7 linked regions of the Oryctolagus cuniculus genome follow. The protein of the gene in region 2 interacts with the protein of the main gene of each other region in a biochemical or structural test. Links are inferred from orthologs where the notes say so. Each region holds a gene or a part of one and is shown on either strand. Other genes may lie near its edges. The genes, in order: ARHGEF7, RAC1, BIRC2, ARHGDIA, PAK2, ARHGAP32 and ARFIP2.

Region 1 (4,276 bases), on a different chromosome or scaffold from region 2:
TTTCTTTCTTTCTTTTTTTTTTTTTTTTTTTTTTTGACAGGCAGAGTTAGAGAGACAGAGAGAAAGGTCTTCCTTCCGTTGGTTCATCCCCAAATGGCTGCTATGGCCGGTGCGCTGCGCCCATCCGAAACCAAGAGCCAGGTGCTTCCTCCTGGTCTCCCATGCAGGTGCAGGGCCCAAGCACTTGGGCCATCCTCCACTGCACTCCTGGGCCACAGCAGAGAGCTGGACTGGAAGAGGGGCAACCGGGACAGAATCTGGCACCCTGACGGGGACTAGAACCAGGTGGGGCCAGCACCGCAGGCGGAGGATTAGCCTAGTGAGCCGCGGTGCTGGCCTACTGTATTTCTACCTTGGGGTTTACTTTATGCAAACACTGTTGATAAAATTTAGTACATGGAAAGGGAGTTTGTCATGGTACAACCTAATTCTTGGAGGCCTTCTACACTTTCTCGTAAAGAAACGGATTTAAGTCATCAATTAACAACGTGATTCGGTCTCCTGGAAGAGCTAAGCAGTGGAAACCCCTGAGGTGCACAGCCCAGGTCAGTAAGGCGGCTGGTTTCTCAACATCGTGGGTACCTGTAATTCTTCACGTGGTGCACGGCCTAGAGGTCCCGCCTTGCAGCTGAGCACCTCATGAAGACAGCAAATGGGTGCAAGGCCAGCTTTCTATGTCAAGTGGGAAGTGGGCAGGTGGACAGCCAAGCCAGCCCATGTCTTCCTGGACACAGGCATCTAGGCTGGGCAGTTTTCAGGAACTGCATTTGCAAGTTGTGAGTCCTGAACACCATCCTGTGACGGCGTGTCCCTTGAAGTGTCCCCGCACAGAGCCACGTGCAGCCGGCTGCTTCGGGGGCGCACTCGTTTGATACCTGTAATGTCCGAGAGTCTTTATGATGAGCAGCACCCAGCTGTGTCACACGTGTCACCTGACAAGTCATCGACCTCCCTGGGTCTGTGCCCTTATCTCCAATTTAAGGCTAACACCCAGCCTCTCTCACGGGCATTGGGAGGAGCAAGTGGGTAATTAATTTAACAATTTTATTGGGCCTGGACTCCGTAGCAGGTCATGTTCTGAGACAAGGTCACTGCCTTCCAGGAGGCGGACAAGACTTGCCTGCTACATAGCAAGTGCGCCCCCCCCCAGATGGACACGTGGGACCATGGAAATACAGTGGAGCGACATGTACACGCTACAGACACAGGGCAGGGCCAGAGGCTTGGCCAGTGCAAAAGGTGACGTCTGAGTTGGGCCTGGAGAGGGAAGAGGCAGGAAGACCTGCACAATCAGAGGTGTGCCACTGTCAAATCCAAGGTGTTTTCAAGGACGGAGATGATTGATCACGGATGAAACAGCAGTGGGGAAAATGCACTTGGGCAATTCAAAGTCCATGTTCACACCTCGCCGGAGAAGCTGCACCGTGAGCTCAGGAAGACGCGTTCCACATTAATGCTCAGGGAACTGCAGATTCAAGCCGCAGGTAACAATGCGCACACAGCAGAGTGGGTCACAGGGAGAGGGGCAGTGTCGAGCGTGGCAGGGCGACATGCCAGGGACAAGGAGGGCACCACGCTCACCGTCACCAGAGTACTCACAACCCAGCAAGGGCTCCCCCGCTCCAGGCTCCAGAGGAGGTCAAAGAACTCGGGCCTCAAAGGACGAGCAAGTCCCCCCAGTTCACGTCCCAGAAACCTGTCCCAGATTTCCATCAAGAACTGTCGTCAGGCAGAGGCCCTGAACGTCCCCAAACTACTCGGATTCTTCTGTGAACTAAGGCAGAAGACCGTTCCAGCTTAATCACAAAGCAACGTTAAGACAGACTTTAGCTGCCTCCCTTCCTCCTCCTCAACGCACCACGGCCTCCGGACCAGGAGCCACCAACGTGGCCGCAGTCTAAGCAAAGTGCCATTCCTCGGCCAGGGTTCGAAAGTGCGTGCAAGGTGTTAGCGTTAGTGCAAGAGGGGGAATAGGCGTTACAAGCCAGGGAAGCACACAGACACGGTGTTGCCTTAGAAATTAGAATTAAGACCAGAAAATGGACAAAGCTCACCACATCTTACCTCCTCATGGAGCCTCGTCCCCAGAAATTCTTCACTACAGAGACAGCCCCCAACCCCTGGTTCACTCCCCACATGCCCACAACGGCCAGGGAGCAGGGGGCCAAAGCCAGGAGCTGGGCTCTTCATCGAGGGCTCCCATGCCGGTGGCAAGAACGTAGCTACTTGCACCATAACTGCTGCCCTCCGTGATCTGCGTTAGCAGGAAGCGGCATCAGTAGCCAGAGCTGGGGGAGAATCCAGGTCCAGCAACGTGAGACGCAGGCATCCTAGCATCTTACCATGAGTGCCAGCCCCAGGGCCCCCAGAGATGTGGCTGGGTGTGTTGGAAGTGCGGCCCAGGCATCGTGTGTGTGTGTGTGTGTGTGTGTGTCTGTGTCTGAAATCCCTCATCTGACACTGAATTTCATGCAGGTTTGGGAACCAAACATCACAGTCTCCTGCTTCTGTCGGACTAAGGTGGAAACCACGGCACTGGCTTTCTCGAAAGTTCCTGGGAGGCTCTGATGGTACCGGGACCATCCTTAGAGAACTAGCAGGACATGCAGGCTGAACTCTGAGCGAGCAATGTCGCCTCCCCCTGGGCTGCCAGCAACAGCCCGTTCCTCTGAACCCTGTGGCTCTGCCTGCACGCCCACCGCGGGCACACCTCACCTGTCCACTGGACACAGGCTCCCTACCTGCAACCACAGGTGCCTCACTGGACACAGGAGGTCAGCAAGTGTGCACCAAACGGCCCGAACCACTGGGCTCCCTGATCTCACCTACCACAGGGTGAGTGAAAGAACCTTAGTGTTCTTGCAGAAAACAATTGAGGTAAGTCTGCTCCATTACAGGTGGGGAAGTCGGGAGAGCAGAGACGTGGAACAGCCCCGGACCAGCCGGCTGACCTCGGGACCGCACGGGCCAGGCTCCCCCGGCCCTGACCTCGGGACCGCACGGGCCAGGCTCCCCCCCCCCGCCCTGGTTTCCAGGGGGTCCGGCCAACAGGAGGCCAGGCATGCAGGAGAAGGAGCCCACGGCGGCTGCAGGGGTGCCGTGCGTGTCTTGCCCCAGCCCTGCACCGGGCTTTATCATGTTGGTAGTCTGAATTCAGCCATGGTGGAAACATCTACAGGCAAATCAGCAAACTACCACAGAGCGCTGGTGGTGCCGGGTCCACGGAAGCCGCCACTGTTCCTCCAGCCCAGGAGGAGCCACGGCGGCTCCAGCTGCTCCCACGTCCTGCAGAGGGCGTCCTTCCCCCACGCTGCCCCGCTCTGGCTTTCTCAGCCATGCTTTCCTCAAGCCCCCTCCACCACCGCTGTTTGGGGAGCCGTGTGCTTTCCACTGGAACCCTCACCCCGAGAGCCGGCAGCTCAACACAGAGCACGGCAAAGGCGAGTGATGGGAACAAGAGACGAGACCGATGAATCCCAGCACCACAGAGCAAACCACCGGCACACCGCCGCCGCCGAGACACGGCTTCCTACCATCTCCGGGGAGGGCGCGGCGGGGGACAGCACAGATAATGCCGACCCTGCTTCTCTAGAAGAAAATTAAGTTTCGGGAACATTTGGAAATGCAGGCAGTATCTCTCCAAGTCCGTGCTGCGTCCAGGGAGGCCAGACAGGGCCTGGAGTGCAGGGCAGGAAGGGAGGCCGCAAGGGAACCGTTAGGCGCCTGCACCATGCAGTGTTAGAGACGCACATGGGAAAAAGCCAGCGGTCACAGGACAGCCTCCGGGAGCAGTGGACCTCCCCGTGACCATCTCCGAGGTCCAGCCACACGCACGCTGGGGTGCTCGGAGGACTGGGATCCAGCGCGGCCTCCCGGATGCAGGAAGCTGGAATAAGGAGCCAGACCCGGGACGCAAACCCACCCAGCGTGGGACGCGGGTGTCCAGCAGCATTGCACCTCTGCGCCGAGGGCCCCGCGCCCTCGCCTGATTTTCAGTTGCGTGGAAACCACTGGTTTATTCTATTCACACGGCAGCCGTCTCTTGTTCACTCTGCTATACTCTCTGCTCACTCTGGTAAGTGATGCTAACTGGGGCAGAAACACGAGGGAGCAGGGCTCACCTACACTGAGGACGGATCAATCAGAACCTCCAGACTGACCCACTGGACGACAAATGCCGCAAGCAGAAATGCCAAGGTTTGGTTGCTAATGCACACGGTAACAGGTGGCCAAGTACCCAAGTAATCTGTTGAAAAAACAATTTAAATAAAGGATG
Region 2 (3,985 bases):
GCTTGGGCCCCTGCATCCACGTGGGAGTCCTGGAAGAAACTCCTGGCTCCAGCTGTTGTGGCCATTTGGGAAGTGAACCAGAGGATGGAAGACCTCTCTCTCTCTGTCTACCTCTTTCTGGAACTCTTTCAAATAAATAAAATTAAATTAAAAAAAAATAGCCAGCTGATCCCAGTTATAAAATGGTTAAAACTCAGCTTGCTTCCAATTTGTGGTATCTCCACCTTTTGCCTTCACTGTTTAAACACCTTTAACTGAAACTCGGGGCCATATTTACAGCTTTAACAATCTGATAAAACAACATTCCAGCAGTATCATCAGGAATATAGCTTACCAGTCGAAAGCAGAAATATATTCTTGGTACGGAAAATTTGGGATTTGGATTTTTACTGAAGAAATGTTTGCTACGTATGACCCCTGAGAGTAACAGTGTAACTTTTTTTTTTTGGCAAAAGTTCACTTTACTCCAATACTACTTAAGACAGTCAAGAGTCAACATAAATGTCAAACCCTCATTAAAATACCGTGGGGACAAGCCTTTGCGACACTGGCACCCCACAGCGCGGTGCCGGGCTTCGATTCCTTGCTGCAGGCCCCAATTCCAGCTTCCTGCTAGTGTGAACCCCGGGAGTGGTGGTGACGGCTCATGTAGTTGGGTCCCTCCTGTCCATGAGCAAGACCTAGAATGGGTTCTCAGATGCTGGTTACAGGTATGTTGGGGGTGAGCTGGTGGGTAGGAGCTTCTTCTCTCTCAAGTAAATTTTAAAAATTAAATTAGAAAGCAGACGGGAAATTCCAGGGCGGGAACAGTGTTTTGAATACTCATACTCCCTCACAGAGCCTCACACAGTGCTGGTCCTGGTCACTTCCAGGCAATCAGTAGAGGCCTGGCCCCTGGGAGGGGCTTGCCAGCCAGCCCCCTGCATGATTTCACTGAACTTCCCAAGGAGGAACCTCTCTGGGGGAGGGGAGGAGTGATGTGCTCTCAGACACCTCCCAACTAAGTGGTGAGATGTGGGCAGGACAGACACACACAGCAGGCATTCAACAAGTATTCACTGGAAGGAACAGCAGTACCAGCAGGAGAGGGCTGGGAGCTCTTCGTGTCAAACACCCTGGGTCCCTGCTTTAGAAACCTTCAAGTCAGAATACTACATTCCATCCCTCGGTTCTGAATTACCACAACTTCACTTAGAAAGAGAGCTAAGCATATCCTAAGCATAATCGATGGAGCATTTATAACTTTTAAGGGAAATCCAGGTCATTTTAAACGTTCCTAAGAAAAAGTGACGTTTTGCTGATGCCTGACACAAAAGCATGGAAGAATTCACTTAAAATAATCCGCTGACTTCATTTTCAATCCCACTTCACGAACGCTTTTCCCCAAGTGCCAAAGTAAGGTTTTCTTTTAAAAAGGTAACATAGCATACACATTCCTAAATAAATGAAATTTAACAATTTTTATTTGAATACGTAGAACTATACAGGGTTCACCTTTCCCACGTGTGACACGAATCCAACAGACATGCATCTCCCCAGAAAAACCAGTGTCCTAACTGTCCTCCTTGCATCCGAAATGCACAAACAATCTCAAACGTCTCCCATCAGTTCTCTAAGCTAAGAGATCACACATTCACTAAGAGGCATAAAAAAAAAAAAAAAAAAAAAGATAAAAGTCGGAAGGCCACTTTTGGGATATGAACCAGAGGTGTCCAGCGCACTCTTCCTCCGACTCTGGACTTGGACCAGTTGCATTCAGAGCTGGGTGAAACTGGTAGTAATTCTTCGAGAGTCCCTGTCCCACACTAAGCTACACAAGCAATGCTGAGACGCGCGATTTTGCTCGGATCACACTGGGATTCTTGTTTATAAGGGAGGGAAAAACACACACACACACACACACACACACAACTGCATAAGACCGGTCTTGTCCTCCTCTGGGGCCTGTAACCCCCACGGGCGGTCCTGGAAAGAACTCCATCCATCCCTGCCGCGCTCAGCCAAGGCCTCGGTTTTTTAATTTTTATTTTTATTTATTTTTTTAAATAACGACCACATTGCAGGAGGTCAGCTTCCGTCACACCTGGCCCCTGACAGCATCTTCCAAACTTTGTCCACGCCAAGGGCGCCACCGACCATGTCGAAGAACCCCACAAGTGGCCAAGTTACAAGTGGCAGCGACGCGGCCGCACGCTGGGCTTCCGGTCACTCAGACCACTGGACCTCCGCCGCCCGCCCCGGCTCCCCGGGCTGGAGGGGTGGGGGTGGGGGGCGACCAGGAGGTTTAGGGTAAATGCCAGGGAACGGCCCCTTCTCGCCAAAATAAAATAAAATAAAATAAAATGATTTGCACAGGCGCCCGAGAGCCGTGCCAAGCCGGGCAGGGTGGCGGGCGGCGTCCGGCCGCCCCGCGGGCCCGGGAAGGCGGCGAGAGGGCGGAGTCCACTCTTGCCCGCGGCCGGCCAGCGGCAGGGCCCTCCCCCCACCAGGACGCCGCAACCCGGCCCGGGACGACGGCGGGTGAGGGGCGCCCGCCCGAGCCCCGCGCAGAGGCCGCGCGGCGCCCACGCGACCCTCGGCGAGCCCCCGCCGGCCCCCCAGAGCCCCCGGCCGCGCACTCACCCGTCTCCCACCACCACACACTTGATGGCCTGCATCTGGGCCGCTCGCTGGGCCGCGGCGGCGGCGGCGGCCGGGCGCTGAGGCGGGAAGCGGCGGGCGGACGGGCGCGCGGCGACGGGCGGGCGAGCGCGCGGCGACGGGCGGCGGGGCGCGGGATGCCGGAGCCACTGTCCACGCCGCCTCGCCCTCCGCGGACTGGAGGCACAAGCCCGGCAGCAGCCACCACCCAAAACGGAGGAAAACTGCAGAGAAACAGGAAATGGCCGCTCCACTCACATCCGGCCGCCCCTCCCCCGCGCCGGCGCCGCCGCTCCCAGGCTCCGGGAGGGGCCGCTCCCGCCCGAGCGGCTCCCGGGGTTCCTCGGGGCTTCGGGAGCGCTCGGGAACGCTCGGGAGCGCTCGGGAGCGCTCGGCTCCGGCCGCGGGGGCGGGGCGGCCGCCATCTTTCCCGCGGGCTGGGCGCGGCCGGGTTTGGACTGGGAGGGGAGGCGGGGGTTCCAGGAACCGCGCTGACGTCACCGACTCCCGGCCCGGCCGTCCGAAGGGCGTGGGTTGTTCCCCCACCTCTTTATTGTCCTGTGTGTATGGTCACTGTCACTTAGGCGATGACATAAGGGCCTTCTAGAAATTTCCGAAGCTGAAGCTATATAAAGAAGGAAAAAAAAAGAAACCATACCATTATTGGGCCATAATCAGTATTCATTCCATCATATTTCTTTTTTTTTTTTTTTTAAGATTTATTTATTTGAAAGAGTTACAGAGAGAAGATGGAGAGAGAGAGAGAGGTTTTCCACCCGATGGTTCTCTCCCAATTGGCCGCAATGGCCAGAGCTGGGCTGATCCAAAGCCAGGAGCTTCTTCCAGGTCCCCATGCAGGTGCAGGGGCCCAAGGACTTGGACCACCTTCCACTGCTTTCCCGGGCCACAGCAGAGAGCCACATCGGAAGTGGAGCAGCCGGGTCTCGAACCGGCGCCCATATGGCGCTTCAGACCTGGGCTTTAACCCACTGCACCACAGTGCCAGCCCCTCTCCATATTTCTTTTTTATTTTATTTATTTATTTATTTATTTATTTATTTATTTTTGACAGGCAGAGTGGACAGTGAGAGAGAGAGAGACAGAGAGAAAGGTCTTCCTTTGCCGTTGGTTCACCCTCCAATGGCCGCCGCGGCCGGCGCTCTGTGGCAGGCGCATCGCGCTGATCCGAATGCAGGAGCCAGGTGCTTCTCCTGGTCTCCCATGGGGTGCAGGGCCCAAGCACTTGGGCCATCCTCCACTGCACTCCCGGGCCACAGCAGACAGCTGGCCTGGAAGAGGGGCAACCGGGACAGAATCCGGCGCCCTGACCGGGACTAGACCCCGG
Region 3 (4,196 bases), on a different chromosome or scaffold from region 2:
CAGTGTAATAGAAACCAGCACGAGCAAGACTCCGTTCTGAGACAGGAACACCGTTGGGGAAAGCTGAGTAGGTAGACATTCTGTAGAGTTCGCAAGAGAAGTCATACTTCATTTTTTGTTTGTTGTCATTTGTCCAAGTTGACAAGATGGTGCTGTCTTCCATCATATTCTGAGTTCTTCAATACAGGGTCCTTGGGACTACTCTTGGGGAGGTAGTTTTGTGCATGAGTAGGTGACAGTATTTCTTGATGGCTAAAACCTTCACATGAAACCTCTCATCTCTTCAGAGACTTCACCACAGAAAGGAATCAAATGACTGGTTGACTTACGCAGAATTCACCACACCTGACTGGTGAGCTTATGGTAAGGTGGGATAAATAAATCTCCTAAATTACCAAGATACTCTTAGTATTCTTCAAGATTGTATTCACTTTTAAGTAACTAAAGAGCTATTTACTCATTGGTATAACAATAATGTAACGGCCTGAAAAAGTTCACGCACTTGGGAAATGTTAAAACTTGATTTTTCTAAGAGGTTTATATTTTCCAAATACTAAGCAACTACAGATTATCTCAATTATGACTCCAATTCGCTTTTGGTTATAAGCTATGAAGCTTGGACATCAGGCCAATCACTGATTATTTCACAAGAGAAAAAAATCTATATGCAGGATTGTTTCCCTGTAAGCACCTTACTATGACATCCAAATTTTTTTTCACTTTCTTCTAGTAAACAAAAGTAATTAAAAGCTTCATTTATAAAAGTCACATTATCTAAAGGCTAATTTCACATAGCTTATCGTCATAGTATTTACTTAAATAGGTTTATTAGCTTCAGTTAACAATTCTAGGGTTAAGTTAGCATCCACCAGGTTTGTTCAATCTATACCTAGTACAGTGTGTATGATTATCAAATGATTTTTTGCTTAAAGTTCACAAGCTATTAACTCCTCTATTTTTGTTAAATATTACCTGTACTTGTTTCCATTTCCTGTAGCATGTTGTCTTTCTAACTTTGCACGCCACTTGATTATGACTGATCAACTGCCAGTACTTTCTTCATAAACTTAACTAGTTAACCATAGAAAGTTCCACAGTACACACTCTTTACACTGCATTTAAAAGTTAACCTGCTCTTTTTTTAAGGACAATTCAGCTGTAATATCAGTCATGTTGTAATTGAGGATGAACCAATTTATCAAAATACACAGCTTGTCCTTTCTAGTGTTATCACAACAGAATTACTGATTCCACATAATAGACCAGTGCTGAACTCCCAGCCTTCGTTCTGAAAACTCAACACTTTTAAAATTTAATTCATACATAAAATTACACTCCATAGAATTCAAACTATATTCCTTTATAAAGTTTCAGGGTCTCCATAGTGGGATTTATTATCTTCAAGGGGAGAAAAAATGGGGGACAAAGAGACTCTTCAGAGCCATAAATCTGAAAAGAAAGAAAAGGTATTTTAGAAAACTATTTGCATGCCACATGAAGCTTACAGATTATGCAATTTATTCAGTGGAGTCTGACTGACACTTTAGACAATATGTTAATTCCAGCAATCTGTCACCAAAACTTTCTAATTGGACATGCTCTTAATTTAAATAAATGCAAAACAGCTCCACAGCATGAACTATATCCATGTCTTTACAATGTACAGCGTCAAAGACAATTCCACACGTGGAAACACTGTCTTCAGTCTCCTCCCCTTTTCTCACTTCAGGATAATTATCTCGGGCACTTTGGTGGAGGCACAAAGGGACAGAACTGGAGACTCCATTACTCCCTGTCTGCAACGGGGCTAGCAGAGACAGATCCGTAAAGCGATTTTTAAATGTTAGGTCTTTCCAGGGCTAGAAAAACCAGCTGGTCTGGTGGGGCGTTAAAGACATCAGGAGGAGCTCATTAATACAAATCCTTAAACCATACCAGCTGCCTCGCAATTCCAAAGCCGCCACCACTACAGACAGCCAACTCGAAAACAAACAGTAACATAATAGTCCCTGCAACCCTGGGCCTGGCACTGTGACCGCTTGCATGAATGCACACTTTAATTACACCATGTCTCGTATCTTTAAATTTTAGCTCTTTATCTACAAGCAGCATATTGCTACTTTTGATCTCTTTAAGCAAGCTGTAGGTGGGCAGGGGATAAACTGGAAGGGAAAAGAGGAGAAACCGTGCGGCTTTAGCCATTAATTTCTAGGAGTTATTTCAAACAACACACAACAGACAACCACCGCAGCAGCGGACCGCAGAGCCTTGCAAAATGTGAGCTCTCGCGTTCCCACGGACCACGGAAGCCTAAGTTTACAAGTGCGCAAAAACTCCCTAGAGCAACTATCTTGATCAAAGTCCAAAGGGCAGTAAAGCAGGCGGCGGCCAGACTTGAAAACGAATCATTTAAAAAAAAAGCAGCCAGTCTCGACTGAAAGTCTTTTGAAGTTGGGGCTTCCGAATTAAATACAAGCCTCGGCGCGGGTAGAAACCACACAGCCCACGGCGCCCCAGGCCCCGTCCTCCCTCGCCCGGCCGCAACACCAGGGAAGTGGGCCCCCGCAGGCCCGCGCCCCGACCCGCCCCGCGCGGCCGGCCCCGGAAGGAGCCGCACTCACCGCATCGCCAGCACAGCAAACAGGGACCCAGCTCGGGGGCCTGGAGGCCTCCGCACAACAGGAAGGCAGTGGGGCCGAGACCTCAAGCGGCCAAACCCGGCTCTGCCGGCCTGCGGCGCTCCCCAAGCCCCCTACCCCGGCGGGGCCGACGCGGACGCACGGTGACGTCAGCGCGTCCTGCGGGTCGCCCACGTCCCCCGCCGCGCGAGGGCGCCCGGGAGTCTGCGGTCGGAGAGCGGAACGGAGCGCTGGGTCACCTCCGGGAAGGAGGCCCGGAGGCCCGGGGAGGCCCGGCGCGGCCCGGCGGGTCCGCCCACCTGGAGCGGCGCGGTCGTTCCGCGGGGTGCTGCGGCTCGTTCGCCTGAACTTGGCGTTTGCACGTTTTAGCCGCGTGGTTGGCGCCCCTGTGACATCTGCCTCTTCTCTGCCGCGGACGTTCTCCTGAGGGGGACGTGGCAGAGCGTGAGCGGTTGCGTTGGAGGCTCGGGAAACCCTGCGGAAACGCCCTGGCGCAGGGACTGCACGTCGCGGGCCGCCCCCTCGTTGGGTCCGGGCCCCCGCGGGACTCTCGCCGTGCTGCCCCTCGTGCGTGTCCCGCAGCGCAGCCCGGGAGCAAGCCAGGGTGCACAGCCGAGACATGCAGCGAGGACGGCGTCAGGAGATTGCTTTTGAAAACTTGAAGCTTTTTTTTTTTTTTTTTTTTTTTTTTTTTTTATCAACCAGCGTTTCTTTTTTTAAACTTTCGGTTTCCTGCTCTGGAGACAGGCTCCAGGGGAAGAGCTGTGTTTTATTTCAAATGTGCATTGTTAGCCACGAGAGTCAGGCTTCAGTCCGAGGATTTGCTGGGTTTGAATAAAATGGAACGTATACGTTATGTACGTGCACACATATACAGGAAGCGCCAAGGAGTTCACTTACGAAGACAAAGGATTTTTTTCCGTATGGGGACGTGATGGAACACGCGTAAATAAACCTTGGTTGCATTAGCCTGGGCCATTTGGCTCTCGTCCTCTGCGGCGTGGAATGCGGCTGCGCTCCTGGGCCGTGGGGTACATGTTGTATCGCGGTGTCTGTGAAAATAGGCTTTGTCAATGAACTCAGATGCTTGCTTCTTTCCGGGGAACTCCAGGGGCAAACATTTCAAAAACTTCCAAATAAGCCACTTAATTAGGCAGCCAGGGGAATTCCAACACACTGAACCATTTCCCATTTCCTGTCCTGTCATTTCTGCCTGCCAGTCAGTCACAGAGCAGGAGGTCCTCTGTTCCATGGTTGGTAGTAAAAAGAAAGTGTGATAGAGGAGAAATGCCACGGCTCCCAATGACTAAAAACTTCCAAAAATGCACATGGGTCTTGGTAGTAGTTTAGTATTTAGTTCAAGTTATGTTTCTCGGAAAGTTACAAAACATTCCCAAAATATGTGGGAAAAGTATATAGCAAGAATTGTTCATTCTGAATTCAAGATTATTTCTCCTTTTCAGTTCTTGTCCTGACCAAAAAAGGTAATGAATGTACTTCTGTAGAGGGGGAAATTTTGCATTTCAAAAGCCTTAGATATTTTTCCCCAAAATATTT
Region 4 (4,291 bases), on a different chromosome or scaffold from region 2:
GGGTTCCAGCCGGCTCTGGCTTCTGACCCCGGACGGCCGTGTAATGACAGGAGCCGCGGGGTCCCGCCGCCCACGTGGAGACCTGGGTTGTTTCTGACTGGGCTTCGGCCCCTCCGCTGCCGTGAGCTCTGAGAAGCCGCACACCTCGGCCTTGCAACAGAGTATACACGGCAGGCCCTGTTGCATTCAATGTTTTTATTTGAACCAGGATAACTCCATTTTTTTTTTTTTTTTTTTTTTTTTTTTTTTGAAAATCAGAGTTAGAGGAGAGGTAGAGAGAGAGGTCTTGACCATCCGCTGGTTCACTCCCCAGTTGGCCCCAACAGCTGGAGCTGCGCTGATCCAAAGCCGGGAGCCAGGAGCTTCTTCCGGGTCTCCCATGCGGGTGCAGGGGCCCAGCACTTGGGCATCTTCCACTGCTTTCCCAGGCCACAGAGAGAGCTGGATCGGAAGAGGAGCAGCCGGGACTCGAACCAGCCAGAGCCAGACCCGCCCCTGGGTGTGGGGGGGAGCAGGGGAGGCAGTGCGGCCTGGGGGGGGGGGGGCAGTGCGGCCGGGGGCAGTGGCAGTGGCTGGAGATGCTCAGGCCCATTCAGTGTCGGGGCGTCGCCCTGCCGGCCTGCTCCAGGGACCCCTCTGTCCAGGGACCCCTCTGTCCGGCGCTCACGTCCATGGAGCCCCGTCTGCCAGGTCCGCCCAACCCTGCAGGGACGGCAGAGCTGAGGGAACCCCGAGACCTCCAGGGGAGGCGGGAGCAGCCAACCAGCGAGGGCCACGCGCCGGACTCCACCCAGGTCTCCGCCACGGGTGCCAGGGACCCCAGGTCTTGGGCTGTCGCCTGATCTCCCCCAGCCCATTAACAGGAAGCTGGATGGGAAGGGAGCAACCAGGACCGTCCCGAGTGGTGCTCGAGCCACGGTGCCGGTCAGCGCTGCCCCGAACCGGATTCCGGCCGAGGAGCAGCAGATGGGGGCCGCGGTCGAGGCCCCGACAGCTCCGGGGGCTGCACTGGGGGGTCCCGTGCCAGCCCCAGCCAGGGCGCCGAGGGGCTCGCCGACGCCTGCAGCAGCTGTCGGCGGGGCGGGCCAAGCCCCTCGCGTCTCCCGCGCGGGAGGCCTGGACCGTGCACCTGGGGAGTGAACCGGCGGGGGCAAGATCTGACCTCTCTAACTCGGCCTTTCAAATAAATAAATATTAAAGAAAGAAAAGGACAAGCTTCAGGCTCTAGTCCACCCCGGGGGTCCTGACGACGCCCCCCCCCGCTCTGCCGCTGCAGTGGGCAGCTGTGTCCCCCCGCCTGGCGACCCACAGGGCCGACCGCGGGGCCTCGCAGTGGCTGGCGCGGGAGGCGTCCTGGTCCCTCGGGCGCCCACCTCGAGGACCACGCCGCCCAGCGGGAAGCGCCCACGAGGCCCGGCCCGCAAGATGGCGCCCGCAGCGCACGCGCCCTGGCCGCAGCGCTCCCGCCGCGCATGCGCAGCCCCGCCGGCCCGCCCGCCGAGAGCGGAAGTCGCGTTGACCCCGGAAGTGACAGGCGGGCGGGCGGACGGACGGGCGGGGCGGCGGACGACGTTCGTCATCTGCTGCGGGAGGGAGCGCGAGAGCTACGCGGTCGAGCCCTCCGGTGAGTGGCCCCTGCGGGGCCGAGCGCCGCGCGGGTGGGCAGCGGGTCGGGCGCGCCGGCGGCGGCCGCGGCGCGGGGGAGGAGCCGCCTTTGTCCCGCCCGCCCCGCCCTGCGCCCGCGGCGGGTCTCGGCGGGGCGGGGGCTGACAGCGGCGGCCGGCGCGGGGCGGGCCCGGGCGGGGCGGCGGCCCCACGTGCGGAGGGGCCGCGGGCGTGGGCGGGGGGCCGCCCGGGCCCCGCGCGCGCTCCGGCGGCCCTGCGTGCAGGGGGCCGGGCCCGAAGCCCCCTCCCGGGGGCCGCGGGCGCTGCCGCCCCGGCCCCGCCCCGCCCGTCGCCCGGATTGCGGGCCCTGCGGAAGTGCGGGCCCCGCCCTGGCTGTAGCCCGCGGCCGCCGCTGCCGGCCCGGTTTGTGCGCGGGGCGTTGTGCGTGCGCTGCGCTCTGACCGCCTCCAGCCCCGCCCGGAGCGAGCCGGTGGGTGCTCAGGGTTCCGGGGCGCGCAGGGCGCTGCAGCCCCTCCCGGATCTCGGGTCCGAGCCCCTCGGCGTGGGGTGGCCCTCGTGCCCCGACGCGCGGGCGCCAGGAGAGGCCTTGCGGGCGAGGGCGGCCGCGGGACGCGGGAGGGCCGTGGTGGGGGAGGCGGCTGCCGGCGGCCACAGCCCTGCGCGCCCACAGGTGTGCAGGCAGCGAGCGGCGAGCATGGCTGAGCAGGAGCCCACGGCCGAGCAGCTGGCGCAGATCGCGGCGGAGAACGAGGAGGACGAGCACTCGGTCAACTACAAGCCGCCGGCGCAGAAGAGCATCCAGGAGATCCAGGAGCTGGACAAGGACGACGAGAGCCTGCGCAAGTACAAGGAGGCCCTGCTGGGCCGCGTGGCCGTGTCCGCGGGTGAGTGGGTGTGGCCGCGGGGCACCTGTCCGCCCTCGCCTGCCCCGGCGGCCGCGGCGGGCGGGGGTCTCACCGGCCGGCTCTCCCCAGACCCCAGCGTGCCGAACGTCGTCGTGACCCGCCTGACCCTGGTGTGCAGCACGGCCCCGGGCCCCCTGGAGCTGGACCTGACCGGTGAGTGGGCGCCCGCGGCCCTGGGTGGGGCTGGCTGCCACCCTGTTGCTTCCGCTAAGTGATGTGGTGCGGGGCTGCCCCCTGGCGGGCCCTGGCGGAAGTGCGCTCGTGTGCTCCCCGCACAGGAGACCTGGAGAGCTTCAAGAAGCAGTCGTTCGTGCTGAAGGAGGGCGTGGAGTACCGGATAAAGATCTCCTTCCGGGTAGGCCGGGCGCGCCGCGGGGGCGTGGGCCCGCTGACCCCGCTGACCCCGCTGACCCCCGCTGTGGCGCCCGCAGGTGAACCGAGAGATCGTGTCCGGCATGAAGTACATCCAGCACACCTACAGGAAAGGCGTCAAGAGTGAGTGCGCGTGGCCACGCCCCGCGTCTGGCCACGCCCCCGGGAGCGAATGGGGGCAGACCTGGGGAGGGGGCAGGAGTGGCCACGCCCCGTGGGAAAGGGTCTGGAGGGACGCCTGAGGCCACGCCCAGTCTGGTCACGCCCTCGGGAAGGGCGGGGCGCCGAGGCCACGCCCCGCGCCGCTGACCGCGCCCCGCGCCCCGCAGTCGACAAGACCGACTACATGGTGGGCAGCTACGGGCCGCGGGCCGAGGAGTACGAGTTCCTGACGCCCATGGAGGAGGCGCCCAAGGGCATGCTGGCGCGCGGCAGCTACAACATCAGGTCCCGCTTCACGGACGACGACAAGACGGACCACCTGTCCTGGGAGTGGAACCTCACCATCAAGAAGGAGTGGAAGGACTGAGCCCCCCCACCGAAGTGCTGACAGGGCCCCCGCGGCCCTCCCCCCTTGGCCCTCCTGCGCCCACAGGCCCCGCCCGCGGTGGTCTGCCGTTGCTGCTTCTGCCTGTGCTGCCGGGGGAGGCCCGGCCCGAGTCTCCCTGCCCGCTGTGTTCCCCAGGTCCCCCCCCACCGCCACGCCCGCGGCCCTGGCCCTTAGGAGGGAGCGGGGCGGCCGCGCGGGAGCTGGGGTGCGTGAGGCAGCCCCATCCACTCCCCGGCCAGTTCATCTGTCGCTCAGTACCGTCTAACCATGATGCCTTAACGTGTGGAATGCGTCCCGGGAGCTGCCATTCACTCCCCGTGTCTGCCCCGCCCACCGCCCCCGCGACAGGGGAGGGGCGCCAGTGCCGCCTCCCTGCCCCCCAGCCCCCTGGCCTGGCCAGCCGACCCCTGTCCCCCGGCCGCTGGGGCGGGCCACGTTGCCAAACGCCAGGCACTTCTGTCCCGTGGGGGGGGGGCAGGCGTCCCACACCTCCGCCTGCCCTGTCCCAGCGGCCAGCACTGACCCCTCCCCCGCAGAGCCCCCGGCAGACGGTGCGGCCGAGCCTTCCTGCTCTCCGGGCCGCAGTATTTATTGCCTCTGTTCGTGCCGTCCTGGGCCCTCCCGGACCCTGCAGGACAAACCTGGGACCAAGTGCACACCGCTGGGGGCCGTCCCCGTGCCTCCCCCCAGTCTCCGTGTGGCGTCTGCCGGGCTCGGCCTCCACAGCCGCAGGAGCCCCCGCTTCTCCTCCCCCAATTGGGAAATAAACTGCCCCGAGGACCCGCGTCTGCTCGGCCCTCTTTGGGGTGGGCGGTGACCACGGCGCGGGAAACCATGG
Region 5 (3,500 bases), on a different chromosome or scaffold from region 2:
GTGCGCTGTGGCCGGCGCACTGTACTGATCCAAAGCCAGGAGCCAGGTGCTTCTCCTGGTCTCCCATGCAGGTGCAGGGCCCAAGGACCTGGGCCATCCTCCGCTGCACTCCCGGGCCACAGTAGAGAGCTGGACTGGAAGAGGAGCAACCGGGACAGAATCCGGTGCTCTGACCGGGACTAGAACCCGGTGTGCCGGCGCTGCAGGTGGAGGATTAGCCTATTGAGCTGCGGCACCGGCCGAAATATTACTTTTAAAAATTGTACCTGAAAATTTTATTTTTCTCATTCTAAACAAATTTAAATATGGAAGAAAGTTGCCTATAATCCTGTAACTCCGATAAAACCACTATTACATTTTCATCTTCTGCTAAGTCTTTCATTCATATGTTGTTAAGTATTTAAAAAGTGGTTGTAGTAATATACATAATTTTCTATTCCGGTTTTTGTTCTATTATTCAACATTAATTCCTACACTAAATGAGAGGTTTTAAAAACATTATTTTCATTATTACTTGAAAGGAGAGAGACAGACAGACAAACAGACACAAAGAGAACAGTCAGCCAGAGTTTTCCATCCACTAGTTCATCCCCCAAATGCTCACAACATTTTTCCAGGAGCCTGGAACTCAAGTGAGGTCTCCCACATGGGTGGCAGGGATCTGAGTACTTGAGTAATCACCTCTGCCTCCCAGGGGCGCATTGGCTGGAAGATGGATCAGAAGCAGAGTAGGCAGGATACAAACCAGTGCTCTGATAGGAGATAACAGGCATTCCAAGTGGCAACTTAACAGCTGAGCCAAACACCCACACCTAAATGAGGTTTTGGTAGATAATATATAATTTACTCATGAAACCCAACCTTTAAGATAAAAATTCATAGAATATATGGTCCTTTGTTTAAATACCTTCTCTCATTTGCCATAAGATATCCCTGTAGAAAAATAAACTTTGAATCATAATGTGCTTTTACCTCTCCTCCTTCAAGTTTATTTCTTAGCTCTGACATTTTTAGAAAATATTTATTTCAAAGGCAGAGCTATAGACACACATACATGGGGTTGGAGGGAGAATGGGAGAGAGGTGGTGGGAGGGAAGGAGGGGGAGAGCGAGAGGGAGAGAGAAAAGAAGAGAGGGAGAGATCTTCCTTCCATTTGCTAGCTCATTCCCCAAGTGGCTCTAACAGCTAGAGCTTGGCCAGGCAGAAGCCAGGAGCCAAGAGCTTTTTCCAGGTCTCCCATATGGGTGCAGGGGCCCAAGCACTTGGGCCATTGTCTGCTCCTTTTCTCAGGCCACTAGCAGGGAGCTGTTAGAGGTGGAGCATCAGGGACCAGAACTAGCACCATATTGGATGCTGGCATGGTGGGGCTTAACCCACTGTGCTACAATGCTGTCTCCTGATGCATTTCTTTTCTTTTAAGATTTCTTCATTTATTTGAAAGGCAGAGTTGGGGGGGGGGGATTTTCTATCCACCATCTACCAGTTCAGTCCCTAAATGGTCACAATAGCTGGGGCCAGAACAAGTGGAAGCTAGGAGCCTGGAACTCTATCTGGGTCTCCCATGTGGGTGGCAGGGGCCCAACTACTTGGGTTATTTTCTAGTGACTTCCCAGGCACATTAGCAGGAAGCTGGATTGGAAGTGGAGCAGCTGGAACTCGCATGGAGTTCATAAGTGATGCCAGTGTTGCAGGCAGTGACTTAGACCACTCTGCTACAACGTCAGGCCCAGTACTGACATTTTTTTTTTTTAAAGATTTATTTATTTATTTGAAAGGCAGAGTTACAGAGAGGCAGAGGCAAAGAAAGAGAAGTCTTCCATCCACTGGTTCACTCCCCAAATGACCACGAGAACTGGAGCTGGGGCTATCTAAAGCCAGGAACCAGGAGCTTCTTCCAAGTGGCCCATGCAGGTATAAGGGTCTAATGACTTGGGTCTTCTTCCACTGCTTTCCCAGGCACATTAACAGAGAGCCAGATCTGAAGTGGAGCAGCCAGGACTTGAATCGGTTTCCATATGGATGCTGCCACTGCAGACGGCAGATTTATCTGCTACACTCCAGCACTGACATTTAACTGAAGCAATTAGCCCCTTCAAACCATGAAAATTAAAATTTCCACATTTTTAATTCCAATTACCTGTCCAAGAAGTTAACTATGTTGGGATTTTTTAACTCTTTCATCACCAGAATTTCATTAATGATCAATTCCTTCTTTGGCTGTTTCTGTAAATTAATCTGTTTGATAGCAACCTATAATGGAAACAGAATTGAAGAAAACTCAACAGATTTTCTAATCCTCATAGAAAATTACAAACAACAGTTAACAGTTTAACTTATTAAATACATATTATATTATACAATGAGATTGTAACTCATTCACAGTTAGTAATTCCACACTGCATATGCACAACTCTTTGCAATATACAGAACCTAAATATTTTTAGTTTTATCTTGACGTTGATTAACCAATCCAAATCAGTACAGCAGCAGGAATTAACCCTCTTTTCATTCCAAGCTAGGAAAATAATCTTTTAATATTTGTTTATTTATGATACTAAGTTATAATTCCTTTTTCCCCTGTGAGAAATGCTATAGATACACAAAGCAGGTCTCTTCAACTGGAAACAGACTTCTCTTGATTATTCTCAGCTTTAATCTAGTTTTCTGCTACATGGAAAGCTAATAACATTCAGAAGCATGAAAAAGTAGCTACCTCCTGTCCCAATGCCACATCAGTAGCAGTGAAAACTGTACCAGAAGCCCTAGAGGGAGAAAAGATAACAAGATTTAAGGTTTCTAAATCACTGTAATATCCAAAGACTTTACACTTCAAGAAGTCAAAAAAGGATTAAAAAACATTTAAGACATCACCTGTAAAAGAAATAAAAGTCAAAACAAAATCAAAGGAAAAGAAGATGAAAAAGAGGCAAGCCTTGTGACTAAAACTTATGTTTGAAATAGTTCAGAACTATAAAAATATTAGGGAAAAATGTAACCTAACTCATGAATACACTTCCTTGCTCAGGAAACAACTACAAATGACTGTGAAGGTTCCTGCCCATCGTTCCTGAAAGGCATCCTCCCTGCTCCCAGTGGTCACCTGTATTTGATGGCGTCATTTCCACACATTTCTCTAAACTGAACTAAAGGACACAGGGGTATATCTTTATAGAATATACTAGCACTCAGCCTGATTTTTAAACATTATACAGTTTGATTTTACACATTTTTCCTGCAACTTATTTTTTTAATTAAAAATTTTACAGTTATTTGAGAGACAGAGAGCAAGCACTCTCCCATCTGCTGCTTCACTTGCCAACTGCCTATAAAGGGACAGGGCTGGGCTAGGCTGAAGCCAGAGCCCAGAACTCAATTCAGATCTCCCGCGTGGGCAAACGGCACTCAACATTGCTTGTGTTATCATCTAGTATCTCCCAACGTCTACATTAGCAGAGAGCTGGAACTGGGAGCTAGAGCAGGGACTTGAACCCAAGAATTCT
Region 6 (3,500 bases), on a different chromosome or scaffold from region 2:
GTGGACTCAGGAAACAGAATGGAGTTGAGCTAGAGAGGTGTCCTTTTCTTACTATAATAAGGAATGAAGCTTTCAAAACAGAGTCACATGTCCACGAAGTTATAAAGAGCTGTACCTGAAATGCTGGTGTAATGACAGTTATGTTAAGACTGATCTCAGAAGCCCAGAGGAAGTGAAGTCTATGTACCTGCTCGGGACATAAATGGCAGTTGCCTGGGAAAGCCAACCACTGAAGAGGGGCTGTGTAGAAGTGGTTATTGCGGGAACTAGCAGTTTCCTAACAGACAACACAGCTACATTCCCAGGGATCCTGTATCCTGGCTCAGAAACAAAATTTAACATGTAAATTTACGGCCAAGATAAATAATGCAGGTTTATCCAAACCATGTTGATTTTTTTTAATTAAAGAAAAAAAAAAAACAAGCTGCTAATTTAGGAGAACAAATGGGGTTTGAAATATTTGCATTGAGATTCTCATTTACCAAACATTGTTGAGCATGAAACCCCTGAAGACAGGCAAGGCATTCAAAGCACTGACAACAGCTTTCTGGTGCTAACACAGTGCAATGACAATGCGAGCTTCACTTTCTCCCACCTAAGAAGTTTCCTTAAATTCTAACTTAAACAAACAAACAAACAAAATAACCTTTCTGCAGTGGCACGAGCCTGTTCTTGAACTGTGAGGAACAAGCATGAAAAGAAAGACTGGGAAGAACATACAGTTCAGCCTGAGTCGAACGGTCCCACGTTTTATGATGACTCTTGAGTATGTTTAATTTAAAGATGGCCTTCCTTTTTACCGTAATGCTTCTAATAGTCTGACTGATTGATCTGAAGGACCAAAGAGCTTCCTCCCACTCTCATCTAACACACAAGCCCCTTCTCAGCCAGGGCTAATGAAGGAGAAGAGTGGAGCATCCCACTGGGCAAGCTGTGTAGCTGCAGAAGGGGGAACACAACAGTAAGTGCCCGAGCCCACCAGGAAACAGATGCAAACTGCTCTGGACTTGCTAGCAAAGACTAAGAAGCCAAGAGAGAGTTAGGTTCAAATTCAGCTATAGGCAGCCCTCAGGCTCTTACAAATTAGCCCTATGTGGCAAGTGTGGTCTCTGACAAAGTTTTCACTCAGTTTCCAACACAATGCTTTACAATCATTCAGCTCGCTTTTAAAAGACAAAAATGATACAGTCTATAGATGGAAGAGGTGGTAATGAGGCAGGGAAGTGGGGGGGGGGGAGATGCTGATTTGTTTACTTTTATTATGTTTTTTAAATGTGACCAGGGGGTTGTAGCATTTTTTTTTGTTTTTTGTTTTTTTTTGTTTTGTTTTTTAATCTTTTTGGTTATTGAAAAAAATAGACCAGTCCACTGTCCAGCAGAGACTGCTTCAACTCTATTGCTCCCAGGGCTCATTCTGCGTGGACCTGTGTTTCAGGATGCTGCAAGGCCAGCTCTGTGGGCAGGAAGGCCCCCTGGCCCAAAGCTGTCGCATATGTCCTGCTCTGTGGATGGGGAAAGCCAGGGGGCACGTACGTCCCCAGACCTCCCCCTCCAAAGCCCCCCCTCTGGTGCTGAGGCAGGGAGTGGTAATCCTCCAGGTTGTCATACTGGGACATGACAGTCATATTGCTCTGGCGCTTGCCATGTGTTTGGTATGGGTACAGCACACTGGGGTCCCTCTCCACGTTCTGGGTGTGATGGAGTTTGAGGCTGTGACTCCTCTCGGGTTTAGGAGGTGGGACCGTGGACTGCGTGAAGTGCTCTTCCTCCTTGTAGCAGTCTCTGGGGTGTTTCTCTGAGGCCGGAGGCTGCCTGGCTCGAGGCCGCTCCAGCTCTTTGGGAAGCCTCACCTCCTTGTGGTTCAGTCTCAGAGACTCCGGACCGGGTGGGCCATGTTTCCCTGCAGAGTTATGGTAGCTCCCTGGCTCCGACGTGTCTGGAATTCCTTTGGGCCCGTAATCTAACTGTCCAGCTCCCTGCAGGAAAGGAGCCCCATTTTTCGACTCACATAACTGCCTGTGGCTTGCTTCCTGATGTGCCCTGTGCTCAGGGAGGCTGCAACCCATGTCGTGAAGCTTCCTGCTCCTCAGGCTGCTCTGCTTCTGTGGGAGAGAGGGTTTCTCTCCCTGCGCGCTGCCATAGCCTGCGTGGCTGTGGGTTCTGTCTAACTCTGGCTCTGTGTGCTTCCTGTAGAAGCGGTCATCTCCCTCGGGACTGATGACCTTGGCTGGGCGCCGCCCCTCCTTGCCCTCTGCCACCGAAAGAAGTCCAGTTTTCCCAGGATCTGACTTGCTGCGCAGATGGATGACGTAGATCCCACCCAGGTCATCTTGCACAGCTGGAGTCATGTTATCATACTGCGACATGACAGGCCCTTTCACCTTCTGCCGAGCACGGCTCTCTCTCCGGATGGACTGCATGCGGTACTTTTCCATGTCTTCAAGATCCCAAGAGGCATAGGTGTGCTTTACATCAGCAGCTGGCGGCATGTTGACTACATGATGGTCATTGCTGGAGAAATAGCCGGTCATGTTGGCCCGTGGACGAGGAGGCAACCCAGCATAACCGTACAGGCTCTTCCCTTGCAGCCTAGGATTGTAGAAAGCAAAATCGCGAGTGGGTAGGCGGTGGAGGGGTCTCAGCTGCACTGTGCTGTAGGCATCCACATCACACAGGGCCCCGTCTGGACTGTAGTAGGAGCCAGCAGCAGAACTGGAATAGGGGCTATACCGGTAGTGGACCCGTCCGTTCTCAAAGTAAGGCTGAAGCTGAGTTACGTGATAATCTGAGCGGGCCTGGGAAGACTGGTATGGCTTATACTGGTACAGGGGTCTGGGGCAGTAGGCTGGCTCATCATCTGGGGGAACCTCTGTCCGTGAAATGGGAACAGAGCGAATCATGGAAGATGGGGGTGCGTGGAGAGACTGGACCCTCCGGATGGTAGGGTATGGTGGAATATCTTCAGGGTAACAAGTACTCCTAACAGAAGAGCTCGACACATACTCGACCCGGCTGCATGGCTTGGAGTGGTGTACAGATGCGTTTCTTCCTGGGGCCACATAGGTGTTGTAACGAGGCCCCACAGAGGCTGGTGGCTCTGATCTGGCACCATACACTTGGTGTTGCTCCACTTTATTGTGATGTGGAGGTACACTCTGGGGACGGTACTGGCAGTTTGGAGTCATACTGAAATGCAAACAGTTTTCCGGACCAAAGGGTTCGGTGGTGACATCAGGCCTAGCGAAGGAGGAGGAGTACACTATTTTCTGAGCAGCATGCTTAGGCTGTAGCACAGGAGGTGGCAAAGGCATCCCGTCATCTACAGAGGCCGATGAAGAAGTGACAAAGGAGTGGTAATTTGGACTGCTGGTGGCATCAGCACTGTTGGAGTGCATGACAGCAGCGAGCTTACTCTCTGCCGTCCTGGCAGGGGGTACGGGTGCAGCAAAGCCACAGGAGTGCACGGGGACAGACTCGGCTCGCAGGTGCAGCAGTGGGGC
Region 7 (4,228 bases), on a different chromosome or scaffold from region 2:
CCCTGAAGGGGTTCTCCCTGTGGGCTGCAGGAGGGAGGGAGGGAGGGAGGCTGAGGAGTGACTGTCTGGAAGGGCCAGGGCCCAGTCCCCCAACCCTCTTTGGTCTGGCTGAGGCACCTGAAGCTCTGGGGACTTCTGGCTGAGGTCAGCAAAGGCGTCACCTAGTGCATGCTGGGTCTGCAGCAGGCTGTAGAGGTGGGCTGTCAGTGCCCGGCCCAGCTGCAGGACACTCTCATACTTGCGCTTCGTCTCACGCAGCAACTCAATCTGCAGCTCTAGCTCCAGGTCCACAGTCCGGGAGCCTCGGCCAAATCGCTCTGATAATAGTTGCTTTGTACACTGATTGGGAAGTGAGGGAATAGGTCAGAAACCCTAGCACCCTGCCTCCCTCCCAATAGGTACGTACTCCAGCACCCCCAGGCTCCTAGTCTCAGCCATAGATGGCATATTAGGATTTGGGGGAAAAAGTACCCAGGGGGAGTTTTGGGGAAGGGAGAGGGGCTAAATCCCACCTTATATGTGTTGATGCCCCATTTCTTGACAATGTCAAACTTCTCTCCAGCGATGCCCCGAGCCACTTCATCCCCAGGGCCAGGAGGAGTGGTGCTGTGAGATGGATGGCGGCCAGACCCTAAAGGACCAAGTTCTCTGACACCAGCTGCTCTCAGATACAATCAGACATCTCTAAGGCCTCACTCATACTTTCCTTCCAGCACATGAAAATGACTTCCCTAAGGAAGCTTGAGACAACTGAATTCTCCTGCTCACTAGAAGGGACATGTATGTACCTCATGCCCTGAGAATCCAATCCCAATATACATTTGGCTACCTTTGTGTGTGTGTGTGTGTGTGTGTGCTGGGGTAGAGGGAGGTTGGGAGGAGTGTTGCTGGTATGCAGGGCAGGGACAACAAGAAAATACATTGTGTTGGGGGTGGGGTGTCAAAGATGGTGAGTCCTTGGAAATCTGGTAGGCATCTCCATGTGGAATCCCAGTCAGTGACATCCGGGACTGTTTGTTCCTCTAAACTTTAGAGTCTAAAGTAAAACTGAGAAGCCTCACAGAGTTCCAAATTAGGCTTAAGCTTTAGAGCAGGAGAACTTTTGTGAACCAGAAGTCTTAACTTGGTTCAGATGGTTGTAGCAGGGAAAGGACAAAAATGCCACGTCAGGGGCTAACTGGTAAGTGGGAAGCCGACAGCAAACCCTGGGAGCTGGCTTTGGGCTGAGAGGACTCTATGGGGTTTGTATGAGCAGAAGTTCCCAAGCTTTCCGAGATACACTTGTATACCATGCTCCTCCAAACCACTCCTACCCCCCTCCCCACTCAGGCTTCCTGTCTCTGATCATTCATACCTGTGGGGATGAGTCCATCACCAGAGCCCCCATAGCCCCCAGACACAATGCTGGTTTCATTGAGGTTGGGTCCTGACACCATCACCTGCTGGAGGTCCTATAGGCCAGAGAAGAGGGGGGCAGCTGAGGCATTGTGGGAGTGGGAACAAGCTTGGATTGAAGCACCACAGACAGTACACTAGAGAAGTCTGCACAGAATCAGAATGAAGATTTGTAAAAAGGATGAAGTGAGGTAGATAAGCTAAGGAAGGTTGCTGGAATAGGGGTGAGAGCCCAGGTTTTATAAACTGGATTCCCGAATTGAAACAAGAATGAAAGAGAAGCACCTGCTCCAGCCCATCATCTTCAGGAAGCTGCCCAGCTTCGCCGTTCCCATGGATAGGGATCTCCATTGTGGCTGCCTTCCCTAGGATCCCGTCCGTCATGGCTAGGGAAGGGGCTGGAGCCAAAGTCTCCACCCCAGCACCCTGCAAAGCCCAACAGACAGTTTTGGAAAGTGGCCAGCAGTCTGGAAGAGAGAGTCCGCTCCTGCCATTTCTCATGTTTTAGAGGTAGTCCCAGGCTGAGTGTCCTGGAGTTCAGCCACCACTCCTTTCCTCAGGCATATGTATTTCTCCCCCACCGAAGCGCACATTTCTACACACCTACACCCAAGCCTCAGGTGTCTTCTCACAGCCTCCCCACCTCCCAACCTCAGGACCTGGTGCTTGTTCATGCATTCACTCATTCACCAGACATTTAGTGAGTGCCTACTATGTGACAGCCACTATCTGAGGCAATGGAAACACAGCACTGAACAAGAGAGATAAAGTCTCCGGTCTCTTGGAACTTAGCCCCATGCAGGTGCGCTTACTCCCAGCAGGAGCCAAGCCCCCTTCCAGCACTCCAGTGCTTTCTCCCCACTCAGGTATGCTCTCTATTGCTCCGCCTTTCATACTCCTAAAATGTTCTTTCCCTCTTCCTTCAGGGTGGTCTCCCCCCTCCATCTCATACACCTCCTCTTCCAGGGGCCCTCCGCACCAGGCCTCGCTTGAAACAGCTGGTCGCTGGTAAAAGCCTCTCTTCCCCAGAGCAAAGGTGATCCCTTCCAAAGTCAGTTGTGTCTCTCAGGTGTGTGAGTCCCTGTTCCCCTCCCCCCGACACACCTGGGCATCAGGTGTGTCCTCATCCTTGCCTATCTTTCAGGGGCATCTTGCCCTCAGGACAGGTCCGTGCATTCAACTTCCCCTCGCCCAGGCACGTCCCTCTCACCTCGGGCCGGGCAGCTCTTCCCCTCAGGGCGCCAGGCCCGAGCGGCGCGGGGACCTCCGGTTCCAGTTCCCGTCGCGATCCTAGCAGCAGGTCAGGGACTCGGCGGAAGTGACGGCCTCTCCGGGCAGAAGAAGCTGGCCACGTCGCAGATTCTAAGGGCGGAGGTGACGTAGCAGCCAGGGGCAGGGCTATCCTGGGGCCAACCCTTTAGTCCTTGGTGGGGGGGAGGGCGGGGGAGCGACGAGAGATTACTTCCGGGGCGGTACCCAGACCTTGAAACGGAAGTGACGTAGGGCGTGAGCGCCTGGCGGGATGGAGCAACAGCAACAACTGAGAAACGTGAGTGCTGCTAAGTCGCCCTAGAGCCGTGCCGTGAGCTCGCTTTGCAGGAACTGCAGAGAGCCAGGGATGCCAAGGCTGGGAACAAACGGCTATGAAACGTGGTCCTGGGAGGCCTGTGGCTGCGGGGCCTTGAGGTATGGGGCCCATATCGCTGAGTTCTTGGTCCCCTTTTCTTCCAGTTGCGGGACTTCCTGTTGGTCTACAATCGGATGACAGAACTCTGCTTTCAGCGCTGTGTGCCCAGCCTGCACCACCGAGCCCTGGACGCTGAGGAGGTGGGCAACTATGTAGGGACGTTACCCTCGATCCTCAGTTACGGGTCGTCTGCCTCCTCCACCCCCTTCCCCTTCCTCTCCGGCCTGGCCTTCCCACCACCCTCACCCCTAGGCTGCGGTTGGGGAAGGACGAAGCCGGGCCTAACGGGACCACTTTGGCCTCTACTTAACCCCTCTGTTTTCCTTTCAGGAGGCCTGTCTACACAGCTGTGCTGGGAAGCTGATCCACTCCAACCACCGCCTCATGGCCGCTTACGTGCAGCTCATGCCTGCCCTGGTACAGCGCCGCATCGCAGACTATGAGGCTGCCTCAGCTGTGCCGGGTGTTGCCGCTGAACAGCCTGCAGGCTCACCGTCCAGCAGCTAGCCACCCCCAGTCCCAAAAGGGAAGGCCTTGGATGGGCCCTCAGATTGAAGGACCCTGTGGACTTTGACTAGGTGAAGCCTGCACGAGGGGTTGCCTGAAAGTTGGGTACCGTTGCTCCATTTCCTGGAGCCAATAAACCCACCTTTTACTCTGTTTGGTTTATATTATGGGCAGGGAACCTTTGCTCACTGTAGGCACCATCCTTTGTTCTGTCGTTTAGTGCATATCTGCTGGCCTCAGCCCTGACCACTGAGGAAGTGTTTTCTATATGTAGAAGGAAAATGTCTGGTGTTCAGGCAGCTGGTTAAGTCAGGCTCTGTAGGGACAAGATCAAGGTCGGTAGTAACAATAGAATTGTTTCCTTCCCGGATGGCAGAAAATGGGAGCCCTGTCTGGCCATGCTTAAGTCTGCCTTAAAAGATGCACCTGTGAGTCAAATGTGGATTGGTATGTGACTGTTTTTGTGGACTGTGTCTTAATTCTGCTGGTTCCAGGGAAAGGAAGTGTGTGTGTGTGTGTGTGTATGAACAATAGATCAACATCCACAGGGATTTTAGGTACCGCTTCCTTACGAAGTCAGGAGATACAGAACAGAGATGAAATCTGTTAAGAATTCTGGGTGTTCTGGAACTTTATCTA

Evidence for each region.
Region 1: the proteins of RAC1 (region 2) and ARHGEF7 form a complex in vitro, tested with the Homo sapiens proteins (2 studies listed by IntAct). The link is inferred for Oryctolagus cuniculus from reciprocal best matches to the Homo sapiens genes RAC1 and ARHGEF7.
Region 3: the proteins of RAC1 (region 2) and BIRC2 form a complex in vitro, tested with the Homo sapiens proteins (2 studies listed by BioGRID and IntAct, with this or other methods). The link is inferred for Oryctolagus cuniculus from reciprocal best matches to the Homo sapiens genes RAC1 and BIRC2.
Region 4: the proteins of RAC1 (region 2) and ARHGDIA are reported together in a solved structure, tested with the Homo sapiens proteins (2 studies listed by BioGRID and IntAct, with this or other methods). The link is inferred for Oryctolagus cuniculus from reciprocal best matches to the Homo sapiens genes RAC1 and ARHGDIA.
Region 5: the proteins of RAC1 (region 2) and PAK2 form a complex in vitro, tested with the Homo sapiens proteins (2 studies listed by BioGRID and IntAct). The link is inferred for Oryctolagus cuniculus from reciprocal best matches to the Homo sapiens genes RAC1 and PAK2.
Region 6: of the proteins of RAC1 (region 2) and ARHGAP32, one has a biochemical effect on the other in vitro, tested with the Homo sapiens proteins (3 studies listed by BioGRID). The link is inferred for Oryctolagus cuniculus from reciprocal best matches to the Homo sapiens genes RAC1 and ARHGAP32.
Region 7: the proteins of RAC1 (region 2) and ARFIP2 form a complex in vitro, tested with the Homo sapiens proteins (2 studies listed by BioGRID and IntAct, with this or other methods). The link is inferred for Oryctolagus cuniculus from reciprocal best matches to the Homo sapiens genes RAC1 and ARFIP2.

The regions. Positions count from the first base shown.
Region 1 is NC_091440.1:2,147,337-2,151,612, forward strand, and holds the start of ARHGEF7 (rho guanine nucleotide exchange factor 7), read right to left. Parts: upstream 2,801-4,276; 5' UTR 1-2,800. UniProt on the Homo sapiens protein: Acts as a RAC1 guanine nucleotide exchange factor (GEF) and can induce membrane ruffling. Functions in cell migration, attachment and cell spreading. Promotes targeting of RAC1 to focal adhesions. May function as a positive regulator of apoptosis.
Region 2 is NC_091450.1:40,075,988-40,079,972, forward strand, and holds the start of RAC1 (ras-related C3 botulinum toxin substrate 1), read right to left. Parts: upstream 2,801-3,985; 5' UTR 2,658-2,800; coding exon 2,623-2,657; intron 1-2,622. UniProt on the Homo sapiens protein: Plasma membrane-associated small GTPase which cycles between active GTP-bound and inactive GDP-bound states.
Region 3 is NC_091432.1:94,067,251-94,071,446, reverse strand, and holds the start of BIRC2 (baculoviral IAP repeat-containing protein 2), read right to left. Parts: upstream 2,801-4,196; 5' UTR 2,622-2,800; intron 1,450-2,621; 5' UTR 167-1,449; coding exon 1-166. UniProt on the Homo sapiens protein: Multi-functional protein which regulates not only caspases and apoptosis, but also modulates inflammatory signaling and immunity, mitogenic kinase signaling, and cell proliferation, as well as cell invasion and metastasis.
Region 4 is NC_091448.1:1,032,025-1,036,315, forward strand, and holds ARHGDIA (rho GDP-dissociation inhibitor 1), read left to right. Parts: upstream 1-1,491; 5' UTR 1,492-1,624; intron 1,625-1,964; exon of another isoform or gene 1,965-2,095; intron 2,096-2,296; 5' UTR 2,297-2,320; coding exon 2,321-2,510; intron 2,511-2,600; coding exon 2,601-2,684; intron 2,685-2,809; coding exon 2,810-2,886; intron 2,887-2,962; coding exon 2,963-3,026; intron 3,027-3,232; coding exon 3,233-3,432; 3' UTR 3,433-4,233; downstream 4,234-4,291. UniProt on the Homo sapiens protein: Controls Rho proteins homeostasis. Regulates the GDP/GTP exchange reaction of the Rho proteins by inhibiting the dissociation of GDP from them, and the subsequent binding of GTP to them.
Region 5 is NC_091435.1:83,327,796-83,331,295, reverse strand, and holds part of PAK2 (serine/threonine-protein kinase PAK 2), read right to left. Parts: intron 2,763-3,500; coding exon 2,714-2,762; intron 2,251-2,713; coding exon 2,138-2,250; intron 1-2,137. UniProt on the Homo sapiens protein: Serine/threonine protein kinase that plays a role in a variety of different signaling pathways including cytoskeleton regulation, cell motility, cell cycle progression, apoptosis or proliferation.
Region 6 is NC_091432.1:122,591,853-122,595,352, forward strand, and holds part of ARHGAP32 (rho GTPase-activating protein 32), read right to left. Parts: coding exon 1,410-3,500; 3' UTR 1-1,409. UniProt on the Homo sapiens protein: GTPase-activating protein (GAP) promoting GTP hydrolysis on RHOA, CDC42 and RAC1 small GTPases. May be involved in the differentiation of neuronal cells during the formation of neurite extensions.
Region 7 is NC_091432.1:60,403,114-60,407,341, reverse strand, and holds the start of ARFIP2 (arfaptin-2), read right to left. Parts: upstream 2,801-4,228; 5' UTR 2,606-2,800; intron 1,822-2,605; 5' UTR 1,780-1,821; coding exon 1,681-1,779; intron 1,452-1,680; coding exon 1,355-1,451; intron 632-1,354; coding exon 513-631; intron 340-512; coding exon 118-339; intron 1-117. Other genes in the region: TIMM10B (mitochondrial import inner membrane translocase subunit Tim10 B), read left to right, coding at 2,918-2,944, 3,127-3,222, 3,413-3,589. UniProt on the Homo sapiens protein: Plays a role in constitutive metalloproteinase (MMP) secretion from the trans Golgi network. May have important functions during vesicle biogenesis at certain cargo subdomains, which could be predominantly utilized by secreted MMPs, such as MMP7 and MMP2.